2 linked regions of the Tribolium castaneum genome follow. Each later gene encodes a partner of the first gene's protein in a complex. Links are inferred from orthologs where the notes say so. Each region holds a gene or a part of one and is shown on either strand. Other genes may lie near its edges.

What was found. The genes of interacting proteins can lie anywhere in the genome.
Region 2: Brr2 (region 1) and SmE share a complex: the UniProt entries of both Homo sapiens proteins name them as parts of the U4/U6-U5 tri-snRNP complex. The link is inferred for Tribolium castaneum from reciprocal best matches to the Homo sapiens genes SNRNP200 and SNRPE.

What each region holds. Positions count from the first base shown.
Region 1 is NC_087397.1:20,466,183-20,471,756, forward strand, and holds part of Brr2 (U5 small nuclear ribonucleoprotein 200 kDa helicase), read left to right. Parts: coding exon 1-1,876; intron 1,877-5,574. UniProt on the Homo sapiens protein: Catalyzes the ATP-dependent unwinding of U4/U6 RNA duplices, an essential step in the assembly of a catalytically active spliceosome. Plays a role in pre-mRNA splicing as a core component of precatalytic, catalytic and postcatalytic spliceosomal complexes.
Region 2 is NC_087394.1:32,140,677-32,145,344, forward strand, and holds SmE (probable small nuclear ribonucleoprotein E), read left to right. Parts: upstream 1-2,140; 5' UTR 2,141-2,357; coding exon 2,358-2,642; 3' UTR 2,643-2,791; downstream 2,792-4,668. Other genes in the region: kelch-like protein 21, read left to right, coding at 244-400, 460-625, 2,911-3,044, 3,094-3,253, 3,299-3,627, 4,500-4,668. UniProt on the Homo sapiens protein: Plays a role in pre-mRNA splicing as a core component of the spliceosomal U1, U2, U4 and U5 small nuclear ribonucleoproteins (snRNPs), the building blocks of the spliceosome.

The DNA of each region.
Region 1 (5,574 bases):
CGAACTGGGACGCATTTCCTCGCATTATTATTGCACCCACGAAACGATGCAAACTTACAATCAATTGCTCAAACCAATGTTGAGCGAAATTGAATTGTTCCGCGTTTTTTCCCTATCGTCTGAGTTCAGGAATATAACAGTCCGTGAGGAAGAGAAACTTGAGTTGCAAAAATTGATGGAACGTGTTCCAATCCCGATCAAAGAAAGTATCGAAGAACCAAGTGCCAAAGTAAACGTACTGTTACAAGCGTACATTTCTCAACTAAAACTGGAAGGTTTCGCACTTATGTCCGACATGGTTTACGTAACACAATCAGCTTCGCGTTTAATGCGTGCTATTTTTGAGATTGTTTTACACAGAGGTTGGGCACAATTGGCCGATAAATCGTTAGCTTTGTGTAAAATGATTGATAAAAGAATGTGGCAGTCGATGTCACCGTTGCGCCAATTTCGCAAAATGCCGGAAGAGATTGTGAAGAAAATTGAAAAGAAAAATTTCCCATGGGAACGTTTATACGATTTGGGACCGAACGAAATCGGCGAATTGATTCGGGTCCCAAAGTTGGGCAAGACTATCCATAAATACGTTCATCAGTTCCCCAAACTTGAATTATCAACGCATATTCAACCAATTACCAGGTCAATGTTGAAGGTTGAATTGACCATAACGCCTGACTTTCAGTGGGATGAGAAACTTCATGGAGCGTCTGAAGCGTTTTGGATTTTGGTGGAAGATGTGGATTCAGAGGTTATTCTCCACCATGAGTATTTTTTGCTCAAAGCGAAGTATTCACAAGACGAGCATTTGGTTAAATTTTTTGTCCCGATTTTCGAACCTTTGCCACCTCAGTACTTCTTACGTATTGTGTCAGATCGATGGATCGGAGCCGAGACACAATTACCAGTTTCTTTCCGACATTTGATACTACCAGAGAAGAATTTCCCACCAACTGAACTACTTGACTTGCAACCTTTACCAGTCACTGCCTTACGGAACGATAAATTCGAGTCGTTGTATAACGACAAGTTCCCGCAGTTTAATCCAATTCAGACGCAAGTCTTCAATTCGGTTTACAACGGTGATGATAATATTTTTATTGGTGCCCCGACCGGTTCTGGAAAAACTACAATCGCTGAATTTGCGATACTTCGCCTTTTTGATAAAAACCCGGAAGGTCGGTGCGTTTATCTCGTTCCGAAAGATGCATTAGCTGAGTTAACGTTTGCCGATTGGCACAATAAATTTGGGCAAATTTTGGGCAAGAAAGTAGTGCTCCTAACTGGTGAAACCGGGACTGATTTGAAGTTACTGGCAAAAGGTCAGATTGTTATAAGCACGGCCGAAAAATGGGATGTATTGTCGCGAAGATGGAAACAAAGAAAGAATGTCCAAAATGTGAATTTGTTTATCGTTGATGAGTTGCATTTGATTGGTGGGGAGGATGGGCCTGTTATTGAAGTTGTGTGTTCCCGCATGCGATATATTTCCTCACAGATTGAGAAACCGATCAGGATTATAGCATTAAGTGCGTCGCTTATGGATTATCGAGATGTGTCTCAATGGTTGGGTTGTAATGCCAATGCAACGTTTAATTTTCATCCGAGTGTGAGGCCTGTACCGTTGGAATTGCATGTACAGGGGATTAATATTACACATAATGCGTCGAGACTTATCGCAATGGCGAAGCCGGTTTATAATGCTGTGGTGAGGTATAGTCCACATAAGCCGGTTATTGTTTTCGTACCGACGAGGAAACAATCACGTTTGACTGCAATTGATTTACTTACGTATGCTGCGTCTGAGGGACAGTCTAATAAGTTTTTCCATGCGGAGGAAGAGGATATTAAACCGTTCTTGGATCGGATGACTGATAAAGTAAGTATGAGTTACATACAAGGTTTTATGCGCAAGTTTTGTAAATTACTCAATTGATTCAAAAACGGGTTTTAATTGTGGATCCAGTTTCCTTTTTTTTTTCTTATCGAGGTAGAACTACAAATATGTCTCTCCACTCTGCGAATTTTCAGTAAATACCCAAATACGATTTCCAAACTCAAGTCTGATTCAATAGAGGGTTACTTCTGACATGTCCTAAGATGCAACCAAAAATACCAATTGCTCTTCGGAAATAACCCACTGTTAGCTCACCCCATGGACTCACCCTGTATTTACTACAATTGGCCGAATTATCAATCTTTGAAAAGGCAGGTGGAAATTTGAGTTTTCTCTACTCTAAATATTTTGAAAACAGCTAAGCTATCTTATTAGAATAACTCGAATAATTGAAAAAGGTAATGAAGATCATAGATTTTTATTTTAAATACCAAAAAAATATCAGAAACTGATAAAACAAAAAATTGCACAACTAGGAACCGGAAGAAAAACTATTCGCATTCGCTAACTCGTTTTATTTTTACTTACATCATTTTTCAACAAAGTATCGACTTTTGTCATAGACAGAAGCACAGGTAGGTCAGAGTTTTGATTATATCCAAAAATGGCTATTTAAGTGACTTTTTGCGTTTTTATTGAATTTCCACTAATAAAAGTGAAAATCTATCATATTTCGTTCATAAGAAATAAAAAATAATTTGACTTAATTTAGATTTCAGTTAATACATTTTAGAGCCTAATATCAAAATGGAGAAACAAATCATCTCAAAATTTTTTCTAGAGGAAGTTTGCTTGAAGATTTCCAATCTATTTTTACCTCTTATCCACAACACTAGAAACAGTTTTTGAGATATTGGTGAAAGTTTGGTTTCTCAACATACATTAGTTGTTGTAAAAGAGTACTTTTAGTTTTTATATTAAAATTAACTAGATCAGACAATTGAATCTGTGATCTATATTCATTTTTTGTCTACGAACGATAATTTTTAAGCCATCAGTCAAAGTTTGAGGGGCTGATTAAAATTTAGTTAATCAAAAACCAAAAAATATACAGGGTGTCTCAGCTAAGACTTTCGAGCCTGATATGTCAGATATTTGTTAACGGATTTTTGTGAAATTTAAAATGCAGATATTTTAGAAGGTAAAGATTAAAATTCAATTAATGCAACAACTCAAGTCTTAAAAACGTAATTTTTACATGCCTTTTTAAAATGTTAAGCCTTTTAAGATTTTTATTAAAAAATTAATCATCAATGAAAAATGATGTAAGAAAAAACTCGTTTGTGAAAGAAGTTTGTTCTGCAAGAAAAATGAGAAACAAACTGTTAAACGTGGATACAAATTCAAAAGGTCCCTATAAAACATATGCGCGCTACCACTAAATTTTGGTTACTCCTACTCGCACAAACGTGTCACGCAAATGACATTTCACATTTATCTCTCATCCTTACAAAGTTAACAAACAGTATTTTTAACTTCCTTCTTGTACTGGATGCTTTAATTCGTTCAAAAAGGACAAAAAGACTGAACAACTGAAAAATTTTAGGCACTTGAACGTTCAGGAGTTTGGAAATGTTTATCGTACACTGCTGATTAAATTCCCTTCAAAAGCTGATGTTACAGCCCCAGCTATTGCTTCGCTTCCAGTGACGACTTTTCATTTTATCCTCATTCGATTTAGTTCACGTACGCTTCCTGTGTCTTCAAATTATTGAAGATTCTTTGAACTTTAAACTTCATGAATAACATTTCACAAGAAGTTCAACGAAACTTTTTATGGAGGAATATTGTTTCCTTTTTCAACAACACTGAAATTTCTGTGTTTTACTTTTCTGATAGCGCACACACTTTTGACAGATTTTTTCAATGGTACACAAAATGCCGCATAGAAATGCTTCATCAATTGTTTCAAAAGGTGACTGCCCAAATACTTTCCAAAATTTGGATTAAGTTTTTAACAACAAAACCTAATTTTTTTTCTTGGATCAGCAGAGCGATTTGGTGAATTTTTGTGTGGCCATCTATATTTCCTAGTTTGACTTAATCTTAAATAAAAGAAATGTGTTTTAAAATTACATTTTTTAACTTGAGGTCATTTTTTTGACCCTAATTGAAAGACCACCTCCTAAAATATGTACATTCTAAATTTCATAACAATCCGTTGGCAAATAACTGAGATATTAAGCTCTATATACTATATTGTTTTTGTCTGGGATTTCTAAACTGTCTTTATTTCTCATCTACAACTAATAAGAGTTTTTAAAAACGAAGATCACATAATGTGACCACGTAAAAGGAAAATTACTGTTTTTGGCAAAAATATATTAGCTCAATTTGTTATAGCATCATTTAGGCTTGGTGTTCTAGTACGATTAAACTTCAATTTATTCTTATCTCTCTGTTATTTGGTAAGTATTTGACTGACGTTGCTATGTTTTAACTGGGTTTTAAATTCATTTTTATAAATGTTTCCAGAAACTGGGCTTTAAACATTTACATATTTTATTAACTTTTTATTACTGATAAAAATAAAAGGATAAAACTTCTGTAATATTATACTATTAACAAACTTTTTTCAACAAGCTTTTCAAAACTATAGAAATGCCAACGTTGCATTTTAAATAAGGTTGATAAAATGTAAAATAGTTATTAATGATTAGATCTCTCATTGAAAGTATAAATTACATTAGCGCGTATTCTGTAACTTCTTAACGGGTGGTTAAAATTTAACACTGGTTAAAATCGAAAATTAGAAATTTTATTGGTTATTACTATAGGAACAACGATTAACGGTCTTTAAATTTTAACGGTTTCGTTACAGAATACGGGTTATAAGCGCGTATTCTGTAACTTTTTTAACGGCTTGTTAAAATTTAACGCTGGTTAAAATCGCAAATTTAGCTATTTTATTGGTTATTGCTACACCAACAACGATAACGGTCTTTAAATTTTTACAGAATATTAGCTGTTAATGTTTTTGAAGTGCATGAACTACTATAAATGTTAGAGAAAATGCGACGTTGGTATTTCTATAGTTTTGAAACAGATAATAATATGCTATTTGGTTCGTTAACAAAAATTGGTTGGAGTAATAGGTGAGTACGCGCTTTTAATTTTTTTAATGAAGTTGAACAGTTTTGACACAATACTGCAGCTTTTCAAATGTAAAAATATTTAAGGATTTTGAATTTGTTTTCATTATTTGTCTACGAGGGATAATATGTATTTAAGATATTTGCCAAAGTTTGAGGAGCTGTTTACAATGTAATTTGTCATAAACCAAGATTTTTTCAAAATTCGTTTTGGTAAAGTAGAAAATAAAACCAACTCATACGTACGTTATTTTCCTTGCAGAATATTGTTTGGGGATTCTGCAGCTGTCTTTATTTTTCATCATCAGTTTAAACATATTGATTAAAGTTTGATTCCCCAAGATAAAAATTTGTTTGAGTCAAGGTTGTTTTACGAGGGTGGATAAAAAAATATTGTTTGAAGAAAGTACTCTGTATTTTTTCACATGTTTTTCTTTCCAAAAATAAAAATCGATTCGAATCGTATCAATATTGCTCTTTTCTTATTTGAAAAAAAACTACTTAATGGATTAGGCTGAAATTTGGTATGGTGTTCTCTGAAATATGGTAGTATACGGTGATTATGTTAACACTTCCTTGCCAAGTCTA
Region 2 (4,668 bases), on another chromosome or scaffold:
ACTCTTGTTTCTGATGTCTAATTGGATATCTTTCGAAAATTGCTTTGATCCTGTGAGTCCACTATTGTGAGAGAGCACCTACACGCGCTGTACATTATTATGCATTTTTCTCCAAACGCATAGATGCATAAACTCATATGCCTGAGTGGCTGACGGCGGCTCAAAGAAACAACTAAAATGTAGCTAATGGAAACGTCTTTGTATCTTGAAGCTAATTATTTCATTCTTCAATATTCCGCTCAGATGCAAGAGTTTTCAAACGGCCAAACGCGGTGAAGTGTGTCGTATTCCGGGATGTTCTGTTTCTCCAGCAGCCCCAGGAACACCCACACCTGTGCGTCTACCGCAGGCGCCTCCTGACACTTTCAAGCAGTTCCTCCTTTATGTGTACACAGGAAAGGTTGGTATAAATTACCGATTATTTGTTTATTTTATACTGACAATAAAGACGTTTGCCAGATACTGCTGCAAGACAGTGGAGTTTTCGAAATGTTGGCGCTTGCTCAAGAACTGGGGGTTGATGAATTGAGAAATGCTTGCGAAGATCATGTCACTTCAACCTTGTCTGTTGCTTCAGCCTGCACTTTTCTGGCAGCTGCGATGGACATACAAAATCGGTCCCCAGGTAAGTGAAAAATTAATTCAAAATTGCTCAACATCAAAAACTGTAATTCTAAATAAATTTGAGATTAAAAACTTACTAAAGAATGGGTAAGTATAGAGGTATAAAGCTAATGAAGAAATAACTAAAAAAGAAATAGTGACCTAATAGTGCACTTAGAGTCGCCCTGACTGCCTATAGAGACGCTGTATCTCTATGCCATTTGAGCATTTGAAAATTGGGAAAAAACACTCAACCCCTATGCACAGATTTCATATAAATGATCCTTTGGTCCTTTGGGATCGGCTAGGGCTCATTAACATCAATTTTGTATCGTTTTGGCATTAATTTTGAGATTTTTCTCGCCTAATTCTAGTTTTTGGGGCTATTAAGACTCAAACAACACTTTACACTTCATCACAGTTTGGAAAATATAAATAATATAAATAAAAATAATCTCCGGTGCAAATAAAAAAATTAAGGTTCAAAGAGGTTTTGGGCCGCAAAGGTGTAGCACTTACCTTACCCAAATTGAAAAATGTGTCTTTTGAGCCGGTTTTTCCCCGAGTATTCTCCATAAACACAGTCAAGGGGCAGGTCGTTGTGCGCATCGCGCCAGGTCACAGTCTGCGCGCCCGCACTTTCAAATTCACAAATATTCCACAAAAACAGGTGCCCCACTTTGCATTTTTGAACCACCCAGTCCAAATAATCACTAGTTTCGTTCGATTTTCTGAGAGATAACAACACTGACTGACAATCACGCGATGACAACTGTTAAAAGCAGCATCCATTTGGTGCAAAGTCAAAGCACTCTTGGCAATTTTTTCTTAAGTGTGATTTCAGGCATTTATCTAACTTTTTGAGCAAAATAACCCTTCCTATTCAGTAAAGAGTTGATTTAAATGTCGTTTCACATCTTTATATCGAGTTTATAGCTTGTCGTTTTTTTCTTTAAAGTCACGTAAAATTATCCCGCCAAAACCAAAATTGTGTCATTAAGGGTAACAATGACAAAGAAAGACCTATTGACGATTGTGTGTGTGTAAGACACGGCGCAACTCCTCATATTAGCTATTTCAAAACTATAAAAACGCCAACCTCGTATTTTCTCTCAAAATTAGTTGTTATAAATTATTTATGCACTTCAAAAAACTAATAGGTAATGTTATTTATAGTCTCAATGATTTATTTATTAATAACTATTTTACATTTTTATCAACCTTATTAAAAAAAAATTGAGTTTATGAGACACCAAGTTCAAAAAAAATATATAAAAAACTATCACGTCAAAGAAAGCTAAATGAGAATAAAAAAAATTTTTTTCGAGACATTTACGCCCATCTGATGATAATTATGGAATAACTCAGCTTGATTAGTTAAGGAAAACCCAAAATATAAATTGTGCGACTATAATTCTGCGTGAATAATTTTGGAAAAAAAATGGGACGTTGGTGTTTTTATAGTTTCGAAACAGCCTAAAAACGACCAAACCACCAGACCTTTTTCTGGTGTATTTCAGCTCGTCAAGCTTCCCGCGTTCCACGATTGCCAACAGAATACAGAACTCACACAGATAACCTTACTTTGGTCGTATTGTAAGCGTCGCCTCATTTTTTAAGTTTTATAAATACTATTGCAAACTTTGAACAAGTTTTTTTCTCTTAATACGAATAATTCGTGCTGTGTGAAAGTGTGTTTGCACTTAGCTTCCTTAAAGAACTTTTTTTGCCGGTAACCCAAGACTCCTCTAACCATGGCGTACAAACCACAAAAAGTTCAAAAAGTGATGGTACAACCCATCAACTTAATTTTTCGTTACTTACAAAACCGTTCACGTGTACAAGTGTGGTTATACGAGAACATTAATCTGAGAATCGAGGGGCACATTGTGGGTTTTGATGAATACATGAATCTTGTGCTGGATGATGCTGAGGAATATTACGTTAAAACGAAGAACAGGAGGCAGCTGGGAAGAATCATGCTTAAAGGAGATAACATAACGCTGATACAGAACGTGAATCCTCAATCAGGCAATTAGTTGTAAATTGTAGCGTAATTCTAAGTTTCATAACAATTTTTTCATTCGTTGGAGTAATGTGTTTGTATGAAAACCGCAATTGGTCTTAGTATTAAGTGATTCATCAACTTTCTGTAAAAGAAATGCGGACATTAAAATTATTTTAGTAATTATGTCTATTTTTATAACTTCAAAGTCCTTAAAATTAAAATGTGATGGACAATACAGGTAATTATCGCTTTTTTAGAATTGTGAAGCTTGTAGGTGTTCCAATATATTTTTTTTGTAGGGGGTAAAGCTGCGACAGGTTTTGTCGAACGTTGCGTCAGCTACATTGGCGAAAATGCTGTAGAATGTGTAAAAACAAACTCATTTCTTTCTCTTCCCAAAGAAGCAGTCTTAAAATTAATCTCCTCAGATTATGTAAGTTTTAAAATTTTACTTAAAATCATTTATTACTGTTTCAATTTAGCTCTGTTTGGAGGAAGAGGATGTCTGGAGAGCAATTTTAAACTGGGCAAAGTACCAAGCTGGTGTCACCCAACCCACAGCCCATTGGACTGAAGAAGAGAGGGCCAGAGTGTGCCAGCACCTCTCACATGTCATTTCTCACGTCCGCTTACTTCTGATTGGTAAATTAAATTTTTTTTTTCTCTTATTTATTTGTAATATTATAGACAGCCAAGTTTTTGCCGAAGAAGTTGAACCAACTGGAGCCGTTCCAATGGAGCTCAGTTTGGAAAGGTACAGACATGCTGCGCTTCCTAGTAAATATCCTGAAGGAGCAGAGGACCAGAGACTGCGTCCAAGGGTATCACCTCACTTATTCCCGGGTTCGCTAATTCTGGGTCAGGATAAGAGTCACTACCAAAGGGTGCTCAATGCCTGGTTCGGTAATCCCAAGCAGAGTTGGAGACTTATTTACAGGGCTAGCAGTCATGGGTACTCTGCATCGGCTTTTCACAGACACTGTGATGGGATTTCGCCCACTTTTGTCATAGTTTTGGTAAGAATTTTGCGATTTATTTTAGCTGAGCCGTGAATAAAAAAAAACACGTACGCATACATACATATTTGCTTAGCGCTTTGTTGAAAAAGCCTCCATAGTTTGTCCTCAAAAAATAATCATGTATTAATCTCAATCATAAAATACAATATTTGTTTTTGTAAAAAAAATGTATTATATCACTGGTAGAAAGATGATTCACTGAATTAATGGTTATAAATAAGAGAGAATAAATAAACCATGGGCAGATCAAGATCTACAGATATGTGAATGAGAAAATATAAAAAATAACTGCTCTATTTTTATTTAAAAATTGTTTAGCATCCACGATTTTATCTCTTGGTCAGTAATAAAAGTAAAAGCAAAAGTATTGGGATTTTTTTTCTTCAAATTATTAATTTAGTAATTCATGTATTCTTAACGTTAACGACGTTGATAATTAGACCAGGGGTTAAAAACTTTGTTAAAGTTTAATTTATTTTAAATGTTTTCAACAAAAAGTATGTGATTGTGAATAAAATAGTACAGTATTTGTACAAAATTTGGTGGTAATGACTTTTAAAACAATTTGTTTTGTAATAAAAATTATTAGTAAAAATGGTGGATGCGCTGGGACAGATTATATTTAACCTGGGGTTAAAGCTTGGTAGAATTCTATTTTATTCATATGTATAAATAATAAATAAAACAATGGCACTGTGGTAAGGGCTTTTAAAACATTTTATTTTTAATTAAAATTATTTTCAAAAATGGTGGATGCGCAGGGACAAATATTACATTCTTTTAAAATTAATGAATTGTTTTGTTTACCATTTTATAAGAATGTATTGTTGTTTCGATTGTACGAGTTTGTGTTCATTGCTTATGAATAGGGTCCAAGGGGGGAAATCTGTGGCGGGTTCAGCGACGCAGCTTGGGGGCGCCCACCAGGCAAAAGCCACTACGTGGCCTCAGAGCGGGCTTTTCTCTTCACGCTTTACAACCACCAAGACTTGCCACCTACACAGTTTCATCTAGTGAAGAAACCATTTGCCATTTGTT